2 linked regions of the Lepisosteus oculatus genome follow. The protein of the gene in region 2 binds, or shares a complex with, the protein of the main gene of each other region. Links are inferred from orthologs where the notes say so. Each region holds a gene or a part of one and is shown on either strand. Other genes may lie near its edges.

The links. Proteins that work in one complex are often made in the same cells at the same time.
Region 1: nup98 (region 2) and nup188 share a complex: the UniProt entries of both Homo sapiens proteins name them as parts of the nuclear pore complex. The link is inferred for Lepisosteus oculatus from reciprocal best matches to the Homo sapiens genes NUP98 and NUP188.

What each region holds. Positions count from the first base shown.
Region 1 is NC_090719.1:7,421,502-7,429,025, reverse strand, and holds the start of nup188 (nucleoporin NUP188), read right to left. Parts: upstream 3,035-7,524; 5' UTR 3,000-3,034; coding exon 2,974-2,999; intron 2,094-2,973; coding exon 2,039-2,093; intron 1,552-2,038; coding exon 1,478-1,551; intron 1,290-1,477; coding exon 1,205-1,289; intron 706-1,204; coding exon 625-705; intron 500-624; coding exon 455-499; intron 1-454. Other genes in the region: dolk (dolichol kinase), read left to right, coding at 4,286-5,857. UniProt on the Homo sapiens protein: Component of the nuclear pore complex (NPC), a complex required for the trafficking across the nuclear envelope. Required for proper protein transport into the nucleus.
Region 2 is NC_090700.1:12,972,319-12,979,352, reverse strand, and holds the start of nup98 (nuclear pore complex protein Nup98-Nup96), read right to left. Parts: upstream 3,033-7,034; 5' UTR 2,847-3,032; intron 2,319-2,846; exon of another isoform or gene 1,835-2,318; intron 1,559-1,834; 5' UTR 1,531-1,558; coding exon 1,455-1,530; intron 512-1,454; coding exon 416-511; intron 1-415. Other genes in the region: pgap2 (post-GPI attachment to proteins factor 2), read left to right, coding at 3,380-3,399, 5,931-6,068, 6,552-6,717. UniProt on the Homo sapiens protein: Plays a role in the nuclear pore complex (NPC) assembly and/or maintenance. NUP98 and NUP96 are involved in the bidirectional transport across the NPC. May anchor NUP153 and TPR to the NPC.

The sequences.
Region 1 (7,524 bases), on a different chromosome or scaffold from region 2:
CACCGGGACTTAAAAGGTTCAGAGAAAATAACTTGTATGATTACTGGATTAATTACACGATCATAGTCATGTTTTCGATTTTAAGTTTGATTGTAATTTTAACAAAGGCCTGTTCTTTTTTTCTATCTTAGAAGTTGTAATATATGCATGAATGAATTGTCCAAATACCCAATATACAACAAAATATGTACAGACTGTTACATTAGCTACCATCTCTGCTGCCAGAGACTCACAGACTCGGCAATTTTAAAACCTGCTCTTGCATCGGGACTCCTCTGTCTGGCCACGCTTGCCTTTGTCTTCAAATGGCCTGGTTTGCACTGTGCATTGGGCATCTTCTGATTAACTTCGAGAAACTCATGTCCCGTGCAGATCTGGTCAAGCATTTGCACCCCTGTTACATCATCAGGGTCTGATCATCTGATCTGCAGTTTCACACTGGATTCCAGCTTACCTTTAACAGCAGTGCTTGGCTCTGCCGCTCATCTTGCAGGACAGACTAATGTAAGAAAGAGAAACAAACAGATCATGTGAAAAGGGAAAAGTACTTTCCAAAAACTATTCCGTTTCCAGGTTGGTGAATTTTTCTATTTCATTATTAAGGCACTGGAAATCCTTCTCTACCTTTAAGGCATCCCTGGTGCCTCTGTAGTCTTCCTGCAAGTAACACTGCAACACCTGGACACTCTGCTGTTCATCAAGGCCCTGGAATACAGTAAATATACCATGTTGACATGACAAATCTGTGGCAATTTATTATCTCAATGGCAAAACAAAATCTGATGTTGCACATTCTCCATATCACAGGCTGCAATAGTACAATTTCTAATTACTTTATTAATACAAGTAGTTAATTTAATCAATTGCAAGAACTTGAATATGCTTCAGCACCTCTTAAAGAATAACAGAGCATTTTAAAGCACACAATCTCATTTAAAAAAAACTCACAAAGGTTAAAGATTATTTTTCACAAAAATAAACGTAAAGAACGCATAGCCAATGTAGGCATGTGTAGGTCAGGCACTATAACATTCCAATTACATACCGTATTGTACTAATTGGATTAAAGAATATGTTTGACATAAAATTCTGCATAATAATATAAAATTCCATCCAAAGGTAATTTATATTTTACACTTACCTAAACAGGAGATGTAATCCATTCTCAAAGATTACATTTACAAATAAATCTCATAACACTCACCAATAATTTACTGATTCTGAGACCAAAGTCTTTCAGTGGCTGGGCAACTTCTTTATCTGACTTCAGTTTTTCTGCAGCCGATGAACTAGAAAAAGAGAGATGCAAATATCAGATTACTGAATTAACTGATTTTAGATGTTTTGATTCTACGCTCTGTTGTCTGAATAATAGCAAACATATCTGCTTTGATCTTAATCATATATTGTACATTTGAACTATGATGCTATATAAAAAGGTTTACCTTTACAAAATAAGTGTTTATCAACAGCATACCTAGGTGGTTTGTAGTAACATAATCCTGATAGCAACCGCTCCCAGTTTCTGTCAAGCTCTGCTTCAATCTGGGCCTATTATTGAAAGATAAAACACGAATGCAGATAATAATGACAAACACATACAGCTACGCCTGTGATTCCAACAACAGTTACAGTTAAGAAAATCTAAAATACTCTAGATTTAGCTTTAATGAAAACCAAAGAAGAATATTCAGGTATCTATGACTGACTTCTTTATACATTCTCCTTATCCTAATAATTACATTTTATTTAAAAAATCACCAGTCACAGACTGCTCCCTTTGTGTGGATAAGAATGTTGCAACATTTTTCTCAATGTTTATTCACAGCATTAACAGGTTTTCAAGAAAATTGCTAGGCGGCATAGCAAGTTTCCCTGATCTTCATACATGTTTTCGGAGATGTAAATGGGAGTCATATGAACAAATTATGTAACAATACCAAAACCAAGAAAAAAAAACAAAATTGCACTGCTGATAATCATTTTTTAATTAAAGGGTTGCATATTCATGCAAACAGAATACGGAAAAAAACGTTACCGGTTCCCTCAAAGCCGATCTTCCCAACAAGATCGTCCAAAGTTCTCTGCTGGTCCTACAAAAATAAACGCATTCATCCCTATAAAAGTGACGAAAATAATCATAAATGACATTCCACGCACTTATACTTAGAGATAAACGTGAACATTTAAAAGCTTACACATCTGCGGCATATTAACACTGTTACGTACATTTCACATCTCACTGGTACGTCTGGACGCTACACACGATTTTTAGGGTCAGAAATAAGGAAAAAAAATACTTTACTCCAAAGTTGAAAGTGTCAAAATCAGATTCAAGTTACTGTATGTTCAAACCTCCGCGTTCAACTGTTTTGACATTTCTCGGCAGTTCTGTGTTAATGGAAGTTACAACATTTTGACAGTATACGTTTGTTTTCTTTTAAATTGTCTTTATTAAAGGGATGCAGCGTAACGGATCGTCCTTCGCATGAATTTTAGGAACCAATAGCCTACATTCATTCAAAGAACTAGGCACGTTTTCAATCTAGTTTTTAAGCAATTACTTCTGTTATAACATTGGCAATAAACCTAGATAATAGGACCACCGTACTATATAGTCTCAACAAGTTTTTTCTATACTGTTAATTGTTCTTGATCCGAACATTATTGGAGTATCTCGGAACATGGTACTTGTTATATACATATTTCCTGCCAATGAGAATAAGAAGCAATGTTAACTGCCTTCTAAAAAATTTCACTAACATGCGGCAGAAAACAGCACACATTTTTCCCTCCACATTGTAATAGCCATCCCATTTATAAAAGTAAGAACTAAAAGGAAAACGTCCAAACGTCTAAATAACTATTCATTCATTTCATTTTATCCTTCCTCATTACATTTCCCATTCAGACATGATCAGTTTTGTACAATGCCATACATTAAAAGAACACTTTTGCTTTTCTTTCAAGTACCTGACACACATCTCCGAGTCCGCCATATTCCCCCCTACACGTGACACCTCCTCCGGTCGAACACCCTGGTCATGTGACGGGTGCCCCGGGTTGGAAAGAATAAAAAAAACACTTCCGAAGCCGGCAACTGAGATGCGATCACTGTGTAGGAAGCAGAAAATAAAATCCGCCCTATTCATGTGATCAAGCTGTCAACATGGCCGCCTCCTAGATGTTAAAGACTAAAAAAAAAATTATACGATCGAATGAAAGTACGCACAAAACGTGTTATGATCGCGGTGGACATGTGAAGTAAGTTAATTAACACATTTTATGATATCTGGGTAGTGTTATCAGTTGGCTTTTGCAAATTCATGGGGATGTTGCTTGCATGTCAGATATCTTGTACCTTGCACCCAGTTCCGTTATGTTGTAATTTCATACAATCGATTGGCTACCAACCAGTCTTGTTAAACCACAAAAGGCCTCAGTTAAAGCGGACTCGAATGCATTTACCGTGGAGCTCTTAAATATCCATGCGTTTCTCGTGTTTTCAATTTTGAAGCTTTTAACTATGGATAGGAAATTACGCACCTGCAGCCAAAAAACGCTGTCTGAAATACATTGTTTTATACAATAGCCGTTTAACAATGTCAGTACTAGTCTACTTCAGTGGAGTGGTTTTATGAAAAAGCACAGCGTTAAGGTAAGCTGACTGTCAAATTGTTACATGTTTCACAAGCTTTGTTAGGAACAGAGTGGTGTTTGAAACAAAGAGCATTAATGTTTTAAAGAGAGGAGGCCATCCTGCTGATCTAAGTCGCTTGGGTGATACCGATACAGTACTAAGCTAAGTGATCCGAGGATTTCGTCGGGCTGCGTCTTGAAAGACGACATTACACGACCATAAAAGAACGTTTTTATTCTCTTCTAACCGGATACTCCGCGGATGTGTGATGACGAAGAGTTTTATTAAATGTTTTATTACGTGGGGAGTAAAAGCACGTTTCCATGATTTGCTTACTTTTATTACGACAGAATTGTAGTATTTTGCCCTGGCCGTTGGCATTTCTAATTGGTGACGTCTCTCGTGTCCGTGAGGGTACATCGGCTTGCAAATACGCTATAGAAAAAGTGACAGAATTATAGAGTTAAATCATTCCACCGACCGAGACTAACACTGTAATATATATATATATCGATAGGTGGCGTAAGAATGAAGAATGGAAAAATGTGAAGCATTACATCAAGGAAGTGGCCTGCCCTGGATGCAAGAAAATACCGATAAATAGCAGTTTTGAGAAGCACCCCTGAAGCTGCAGGATCTGCAACCATGCTGACGAATCCTGTGTTCGTGGAGTCAGTTATTGTTTTCACTATTGTTTTGTGTGTCCATTTTGTGGTTTGGAATCAGCTGTCATGGTGTTCCATTGCCTTGGCCATTCAAGCCTTCTATGTCCAGTACAAATGGGACCGCCTCCTGAAATCTGGCGGGGCTGTGTTTCAGTTCAGACCCTCTGCGAACAGTGGCATCCTGCCCGCTTGCATGATCATGCCTCTACTTGGCCTGGCCCTGAAAGAGCGCTGCCAAGCCTCCGGAAATGTGTACTTCGAGCGCTTTTCAATGGTGGTCACCGCGACAGGGATGATGCTGGCTCTGTTTCTCTCCCTGATTGCCCTCGGCATCACCAGGCCTGTGCCGACCAACACCTGTGTCATTTCTGGCATTGCTGGTAGCGCCGTGATCTACACGATCAAGCAAACCCTAACGGTCTCTGAAGTCATTGAAGTGCTGGAGGTGCTTCTGATCTTCGTCTACCTCAGCCTGATCATTCTGTACCTCCTGCCTCGCTGCTTCACTCCTGGTGAGGGCCTCATCATCATCGGTGGTATTAGCTTCATCATCAACCAGCTCATTAAGCGCTCCCTGAATGCCCCTGAATCCAAAGGAGATCCCATCAACTACTTCCTGCTAGTGATCGTGGTTGGATGTCTCTTGCTGGGGATCTTCTTCACCCTGCTCTTCTGCTTCATGGAGTCGGAGACCTGGGTGTCCTCCCTGTTTTTCCACATGATGACGGCAGTTCTTGGCTTGGGGATTATCATGCCATGGCTTGCCCTCCTGATCCGAAGGCACCCCTTAATGTGGCTGATCGACTTCCTCCTCCTGAGTCAGAACAGACTCTGCCTGCTGGCCTACTGGGTCCTGCTGGCAGTGCTGGCGTCTCTGGTGGTGTTCCACCAGAACTACAAGAGGTCTTTGGGGTCCAAGAAGCACCAGGCCTCTACAGTCGTGAGGAAGTACTTCCATTTCATTGTGGTGGCCACGTACGTGCCCGGGCTGATTTACGACCGTCAGCTTCTGCACGTCGCCTCCGTCACCTGCTTGGCCGCCTTCCTCCTCCTGGAGTACGTCCGCTACTTTCGGATCAGACCCGTCGGGCACCTCCTCCGGCAGCTGCTGTCTCTGTTCCTGGATGAGCGAGACTCCGGGCCCCTCATCCTCACCCACATCTACCTTCTCCTCGGGATGTCCCTTCCCATATGGCTGTACCCTGGACCCTGCATGCCTAAAGGAAGCCTCCCAGGAGTGGGGGGACTGGTGCCCTATGCTGGTGTGCTGGCCGTCGGTGTTGGGGACACTATGGCATCTGTGTTCGGCAGCACCATGGGAGAGGTCCGGTGGCCCGGGACCAAGAAGACCATGGAAGGGACAGCCACTTCGATCTTCGCCCAGATTATTGCTATTGCTCTTTTCCTCATTTTTGATGAGGCCATTAACTTGAACACCAGCTATGCTTGGATAGTAGGATCAGTCACACTGGTTTCTTTACTAGAGGCCTACACAGCCCAGATAGACAACCTCCTACTACCCCTTTACCTTTTTATACTGCTCATGCTATGAAGGTAAAAGAACATTAAAAGCCCTTTCATTTTTTTAATGCTTGTACTGTATCTCCTTACAGTACTGAACAGAAAGTCATATTGAAAATATTCCAACAGTTCAGGGGTTTGAGGAGTTTGAATCAAATTGCATTTCTACATTTACTGCTATTTTTTTGAAGGCAAAGCAGCTTTAGCTTTGGAATGAGAAGAATACTGCACTCTAAGGCTAGCTGTACTTGAAAGCACTTTGGTTAATCAACACTGGCCACTTCAACACTACAGCAAGAGTAAGATATTTAAGGCAGATTAATCACAATTCAGTATAGTTATGGGTGGTCATAGCAACATAAGAAGTAAAAAAAATGCTATTTAGTGTCTCTGTGGCAGTGTTAGTTTTTCTATTGTTTGGGTAGAATTTAGGAATTGTATTTTGTCAAAATAGCGCTGATAGTACTTTAGCAGTTTTGTTCCTGAGTGAGTATTAAAAGGGGAGGCTCAATATACTTACTGTAATATATCCCTTTGCAGTTCCAGCTAGCGCACGAGTCCCAAAAGTATTTCATAATATTTTTTTCAGATGGTGCACAGCAAAGAGAAGTCAAAATACTGTTTTTCATTTTGTAATATGTAGTTTAGAATCAGTTTACATCTGACAACAATTACACCACCTAGTGATTATGGAAGTAAATTGTGAATGGTGATGATGCCTTTTCCTTAATCAAATGTACATTTTTCTCACCCTAAAGCTTAAGCTTTATTGAGGAATTTTTTACTTGAATTTCTCCGTTCCATGTTTCCTCAGCTTTTAACATGATTGCAGCAGATATTTGTCAAACCACTATTTTTTTTTCAGAATGTAAATTTGTCTTTCTCATTTCTGTGGAAGTACTAGAAATATTAAGACTTGGATGTGAAAAAGCATTGTGAATACTATATCATTACGGGCACCGAATTTAGCTAGAGAAAAATGTAATAATTGAAAGTATAGATATGTGATCTATTTAGTTTTTATTAGACATTTTATATGACTGAACAAGTACTAAAAATAACAATTTCAGTGGTGGAACCTTCTTCAGGTTTTTATATAAAGGTTTTTAGGTTCTTCTGCATAACCTAATATAAGCTACAGATTTAAAACCTTGAAAATAGACCTCAGTTCTGTATTTGTATTTCCTCTTATAGCTGTCAAGGAATTCCCTTGACTACAGTTAAGTTTGGCCACCAATCATACGAGTAAACACGACTGCCTTAAATATGTCTTCTCTAAGACCAGCATGTAGTAAACTATCTTTTGCCTCTACTTTGGCTTGTAAGTGAGTTGCCATGCTCTGCATACTCACTAGATGGCAATATGCTACATCACTAAGCCAGTCTTCTCAAAGTACTGTAAAATATATCTATTATTTAAACAACATTTAAAAAGTCACTTGTGCATTATGTAACACTGTCATACAGAGGGAGGACACATAGTTTAGTTTCTAATTAGGAAAATTCTAGCTAGCTAAGATTCTACAACCTTCTTTCTGTTATATTCACTGAAGATTGATCTACATATCCTTAATGTTAATTGCTGTTGCAACACACTAGTAATGTCTACAAAAATAAATAGTATCCCAGGTTGCCCTTATTTTACTTTTCAATTGTCCATTTTTTATTTAAAAAAACACCAGATTTGAAACTGCGCTT
Region 2 (7,034 bases):
TATAGTATGAAGTCATAAAGAGGTATCACTTGATCGTGACACTATATCCAATAGTCTTACTGAAAATAATAAGTATCCCAATATTATGGTATAAGAGTGTAGAAAAAATGTATTCTGTGCCAACTGATGCAAGTTATATTGGTCAATGAGTTATATTAACTACCAAAACAAGTATAGCACTTTAACACTATCATTGCAAATCCTGTTACATATTTTCACAGTTTGGAAATCTCTTTGTTTATAACGTACTTTAAGCAATAAGGATTCTGCATTTGATGTTGATAAGAATGAATTTTGTTGACTTGTAAAACTTTCACATCTCAAAGCAAACATATCCATGGACAACGTGTAAAACCAGGACTGGTTGCAAAATAAACCTAAGACAAAATGACAATGGGAAATTTAAGGTGCAAACCTGGTTTATTCTGGGTGTTCCCAAATAGTCCTCCAGTGTTATTAGTGGACCCAAAAGCTGAAGTCCCAAACCCACCTGTAGATCCAAACCCAGAATCTGCAAAAGAAGTTGAAATTGCGACCATTTTGTTTTTCAGACACTTCGAATGACAACAGCTGTCTTTCGGCAGTGCATAGATTAACCACCATCTGCCTTCGCTCCAACCTGGCAGCAGTGGGGGACCGATAGTAGAAGCTACATCTGCCAGGGTGGCCAGGGCTCATTCTGGGGACCTTGGGACTTCATGAAGACTTCTTTGGGATGAGGACTTACAAAGAGTAGTGGCAATACAATAAACATTATAAAGTCACACCCTCATTGGCAGAGAGCTGGCAAGCTTGTTTTCACTGCATTTGTCTTTTGCACAAACTGTAGTGGGATACTCCAATAAAGTGTACTTAACTGTGTTCTAGGTGCCTCTATCTGGCTTGACCTTGTCTAATTGCATTAGATACATTCTTCTTTTAGAATATGTGTATTTGGTGTCATTAACATTAAACTATTGTGGAATTCTAGTTTTTATATCACATGCGGGACAGGATTCTTCTAACAAAAACTCCATATCATGACATGTTTGACCATTTTCCTTTATCTTTGAGGATTGACTGCTTTCCAATAGGTGTAAATCAAAGTATAGTACACAAACACCAGCATTGTTCCATGCCTGATATCAGCTACAAAGACACAAATACACGGTAAGGCAAGCTGTAAAATAGTGATTCTGAAAACAATGTCAACACAAGTTGACAAGGAGATAAGAGATACATTCCACAAACCAAACCTACCTGTATCCATTTACAGGCTCCACCTTAAGCTAAAATGGACATTAAGCACTTTTATTTTCACTGTCCTTGCTTCTTATATGCACCACCACCCTCCATGACTTGTCAATGCGCAGCATCTTAACAGTAGTATGTAATCTGTTCTATGTTTCCAGTATGAAATGGAAGTACAATAATGAATTTATAACTGCAATAACAGCGCAAAAGTAGCAACTTACTCTGTCCAAACGTGGAGGAAGTTCCAAAGCCACCAGTTCCTCCTCCAAAAGGAGTTCCAAACGCTTTGTTGAACATATTCGGTTCCTATCAGGACTGCATACGTCTGTGAAGAACAATTCAAAATACTGTTAGAAACCTTCGGCACATTTTGTTAACGTATGAGTCACATAAAAAAAAACTGACAAATGCATGGAATATTCATCTCAACTGTCGAGGCATTCTTACTGTTTATATTCCACGACTTTACATAAACCCATACCGAGGTAGCCTTATTTCGCTCATGAACCCGTCAAGACAACTACAAAGTCTCACATTTATAGCGTCGAAATGGCAACTGCTAATAAATATGTTTTCGTTTCATTCCCTTAGTACAACTTACCAGTGCTCGTTTGGAAGTCAGCACCGGCACAGAACAAAATGTATCGAGGTAGCAAAAAAAAAAACCCAGAACTTCCACAACGTATTTTTCCCCCAAAGAGTAAAATAGTGAAAACGTCAATGGCTAAACACCCTTTTTGAGACTTCAGGAAGCACAAACACGTTCAAACGGGAGCCAAGACTGAAACACTGCAGGAGAACGATTGAAAAAAAAAAACGTTGACTTGGATCGGAGCTGTTGAAGTGTATGTAGCGGCATTCGAGTTCATTACACAGCGGGTGAATCGGCAAACACTACATTTTGCGAACCGTTCTTAGCCACCGTGCAAAATTAACACTGTCAACAAATCACTCCGGGAGTTTGAAGTCGTTTCTATGGTGGGTTATTCTGCGCGTTAAAGCTGGATTTGTTTACAGGAAGACGCTGAAGAGGCGCCAGAACCGATGGTCGAGGCCTAAAGCACAAGGTTTCAGCGGCAACCACATACAAGCCTCAATTCAGGGCACGAATTGGGGTTTCGAAGATCCTAGGTTACTTCCTTAAAGCATACCAAAACAAACATTTTAGGTGCGTTTCGACCGATCGTGCTGGAAGGAACCAGAACAAACCGGTTTTTTAAAAAAAAATGAAATCGCTATCTAAACAAACGAGAACGCTGGAAGGAGATACCAAGCAATGTTACAGTATTTGGTGTTTCTTTTGATTTATTAAAATGTGCCCCGATCACTTGCTACCTGAAACTGAAGCAAAGAATGTGAATTATTATAAAATGCACACTTGCGACATAAAAGTGCTAAGCCAACACAAACTTGGTCGCATATGCTTGCAGGCAGACAAGCTTCGCAGACACGCATTTAAGTACGTTGGCAATTACAATATTCCCCTGGAATATATTTTCTCATTGTACTTCAGGATTAACAACTGAAGCTGCCACGTTTATGCAAATTAAAAAGGCCAACCACAGAGAAACGTGCAAATTAACCAAATATTACAAAGTAGCGATATTTCTTACCGTATTATTCAGAAGCCCACTCAATATCTTCCTCAGGTGTTCTTCCAGCAAAAGCGGTCCGAATACAAGATGATATTTATGTAGCTCACTATCCACAGTGTCCAATATCGATATATATTTTTTTCAATATCGCCCAAGGAAGAGAGAAACTGCGTAATTTACCTTTGAAAGGCCAAGCAGTACGCAAACTACGTCAGTACGTAATATGTCGACCTCTTTCTGACGTCTACTGCAGATGGATCTGAAATATTATTGGACAACACTGTCGCCCATCAGCTTGTAAATCTATTGCACTTTCGCGACTGGGTAGAGTTTGAATTGGTGTCCCGCCTCCATTCGGAGGCCTTAGGAGCGAAGTCCCAGTTTATTGGCTGTTGGCAGCGACCGGCCGCTTATGTTAAATCTGTTCGGGTCTGGACGGCCGTACGTGATCATGTGTTGCTGTGCAGCTCGAGTGGAATTCGTCGCTTCCTCTAGTCACGACCGTTTTTGAATAGTGAGTCATTCGCAGTCGTGATTCACTTGGTGGATGAATGCGCTGTATTTCATTCGGGTGGGTAAAAGTAGAGGCAAGTTGTCTTATTGTAGTCTTCGATCGATGCTACCGTTTTATAGGATCAATTGCGGGGTTGTAACTTTGTTCCAGATTTATATAACGGTCTTCAGTTTTTTTTGATCCCATATCCTATGAAAAACATACTGTAGCTCCCTGGTCATGTGTTCCCCATGTCCTAACACTATTGTGCCTCGCTGAGGTCCTGGGGGGCTACAGTCCTGCAGTTTTCACGGGTCTGTCTTGGCAGCACCAGTCTCCCCTTATCTACAGCTGTATGATAAATGTATTTTTTAATGTGTACTTGCATTATGGTGGTTGGATTTACCATATTTGGAAATTATTCCAAAAAGTAAAGCAAGTTCCAAAAGTAGAGTGACAATCAGACCCAAATTTAATTTTCTCACCAACTTTAAATAAATGTGGGCTTTCTGGAGGTATGTTACGAGTCGCAAGTTATAATAATCCCCACTTACACTAGTTACACAATAGTTCCACTTTCAGTATCTTTCATTTTCTGGACACTTCACTCAAAGTGCTTTACAGGTAATGGGGACTCCCTCCTCCACCACTACCAATGTGTAGCCCCCACCTAGATGATGCAACAGCAGCCAAAGTGCACCAGTATGCTCACCACACATCAGCTATCAGGGGGGAAGAGAACTGAGTAATGAGGTCAATTCATAAATGGGGATTCTTATGAGACCGTGTCTGGTTAAAGGCCAGAGGCAAATTTAACTAGATCAATGGGGTTATACCCCTTAATCTTTTTGAAAAATGCCCTGGGTTTTTTTAGCACTATGGAGTGTCATTATGATTAAGGTTTTACATCTCATCTGAAGGATGGAACCTATTTACAGTATAGTGTCCCCGTCACCATACTGGGGCATTAAGACCCACCCTGACCGCAGGGTGAGTGTTCCCTACTGTTCCCAGTAACACCTCTTCTAGCCAGGTAATGGCCAGGCTCACACCTGCTTAGCGTTAGTGGGTTACCAGTTGTGATTCGCAGAGTGATATAGCTGCCAGCTATAAGTAATGGAGTTTCCCCTTTGTATTGACCCAGGAATGTGGAAGAACAAACTTCCCAAACCTTGTCCCTGGGGCACCACTGTGTCTGCTGGCTTCCCTACCAGCTAAGCTCCACATCTTCAGTACTAATTGATGACTTTAACTGCTCTGCTTGCAAGCACAGGCTTTCAGGCTATTTCAATACTCAGTCAGGAGATATAGAAGGATAGGGTTTCCAACGGCTCCAGCATACAGAACATGGAGTAGCCTCTCTACAATGTGTTAATATGTGATTGATTTTTAATAAAACACACAGATGAAAATGACACTGTAGCAGACACTCACATTGAGCTTTTATTTTTCCTTCAGCAGAGGATTAATTGAGTACATTTCATACAACACAGCTTTGGCACAGAGGTACCGTGTTAATGCCAATTACAAATCCCATTTGACCTTTTAAAAGCTGAAAGCAAATTTTAAAATATGCTCAATTTAGCCTGTGATTAAGAACTTGGATTGGGCAAAACCAAGAAGTGACATTGGTCTCTCAGGACCTAGGATGGGAACCACTTTCTGTAGAACATGTCTCTATCCTGGGTCTTACAGATCACCTGTTTCTAAAGATGTATTAACCAATAGTACAGTAAAGCCAAAATAATCTGTTCATATTAAAAAAAAACTCTTGTCTGTGAGGGCTGGATGAAACACCTTGATCAATATTAACTCTAATTTCTTTAATAAAATAATGCTATATTCTTTCTTTAAAATGTGAAAGGGTATAAACCTTCCTTCTCTTACCGTTTTAGTTAGTTTTTAATCTTGCAATATATATCTTTAACATAAATAGGAATTTCTGAGCACACAGATGATCTGTATTTTGTGGATCAAAAACTACATTCTTAGAAACTGAATTTTATAAAAGGTCGTGTCTCCTGGGATGTTACATGTTCTAGAAACGAGTCAAGCAATGTAAGTAATATGTCCAATTGTAAGTGTTGTTAATGTTTTAAATGAAATATGTAACAAAATGCAGTAAACGAAAGAAAAAGTTTGCTTTTTGAATGCAGGCCAGAAAATGGCTTGGTCGAAAATTCAAGGAAAAGGAGATTATAAATTGCAATATGCGTAGAAGTTAGTTCTACGTTTGCAACATCTCGCTTTTTGACGGGAAAGAAGTACAGTACAAGCACTCGTACTGTACGTCGTTAAGAAACGTTGGAGTATTTCGTTCCGCTTTTGGGAGCCTGTCTCTTTAAAGAGCCTGACACCTGTGTGAGTGCTTTGCTTCTTCCGGGGACATAGTCACAGTCACACAGACACGCTGAGGTTTCGTTTCATGCATTCTGCAACATCACGAACTCAATTGATTTTATTACGCTCGGGTTTTATAAATCTACCAGCTTTGCCAGGAACAGATCAGCTGTTAGAGAAGAGTACTCACCCACATATTTTTTCTTCCTAAATTGTTTTTTTTCTCTCTCTGAGTGTTCATTCAATGATTCTTTTGCAATTTCAAATAGAAACAGAACTGCACTTGCCACTGTTCTAGTGCGTGTCCATGATGATGCTTCATTCAGCGATCGCTTAGTCTGTCGCGTCCGTGGCGGCCGTGTTCTGCTCCAGACTTTTTCGGCTCCCAAGCCTGTCTGCCGGATAAGGTACAGAACTCCAGTCCCTGGCTGGAACGTCTGAATAGGCCATAACATGGAGTTAGCAATTACTGTACTTGACATTGTTATGTAATTTATTGTACACCATAACAGTGCCATAACATAACAGTTTTGCTTAATACGAATGTGTTTTGGAGTATCCAAATGACTCTACGATTTGTCATGTACATGTATTCCTCGTTATTCTTCTTAATGATAGTATCATTAACGACTACAATCTATGCAGCAGTCGATATGTGAAATGTACGAGAAAAAAAATAGATCGAGCAGTTACTTAATATATACTTACACGTTCGTTAAGATAACATATTTCACCTAGCTACTTAATGTGTTCAATTTTGTACTACATGTTTTACAACTTACAAATGTTACAGGTAGTTGTTGTCTGCATGTTGGTTATCATTGCATCATAAATGCATGAAATACTGCACAGTATTACACATTAACATACTGTCCATACCTCTGTGGCAGGATGCTTCAGGGGCTTGGTGGTCCAGATCGAGATAGCCCGGTCTTCCGGCTGCGTTTCACGACCTTCATCGTGGGCACCGTCTGCCTGCCGCTCATCGGCTTCGTGTTTTGCATCTTCATTTCACTGATCTTTCATTTCGATGACTCCACCGCTACGCACTGTAAGGTGAGCACATTTGCTCTTCATCTGGGTCTTTAAAGCTGCCTGTAGAGATCAAGTAATCTGTTTCACAAAGACACAAATAAAGATCATCATAATTGCTTGAAAGTATCTCTGCTTGAGTATCCAGGCATCCTGAGAGCACTTGAAGTGAGCCCATATTTTTTCATTCTTTTCATTTGTTACGTTGTAGTTTATCTTCACCTGTTACATTAGTGTCCAAAATTTAAGGAGCAGTCTATTTCCGAGTACTAATTTAGAAACTGAAGCAACATTATAAATTAAACCTAGTATTGTGTGATCGAGTTTTAATGTTACAAGCA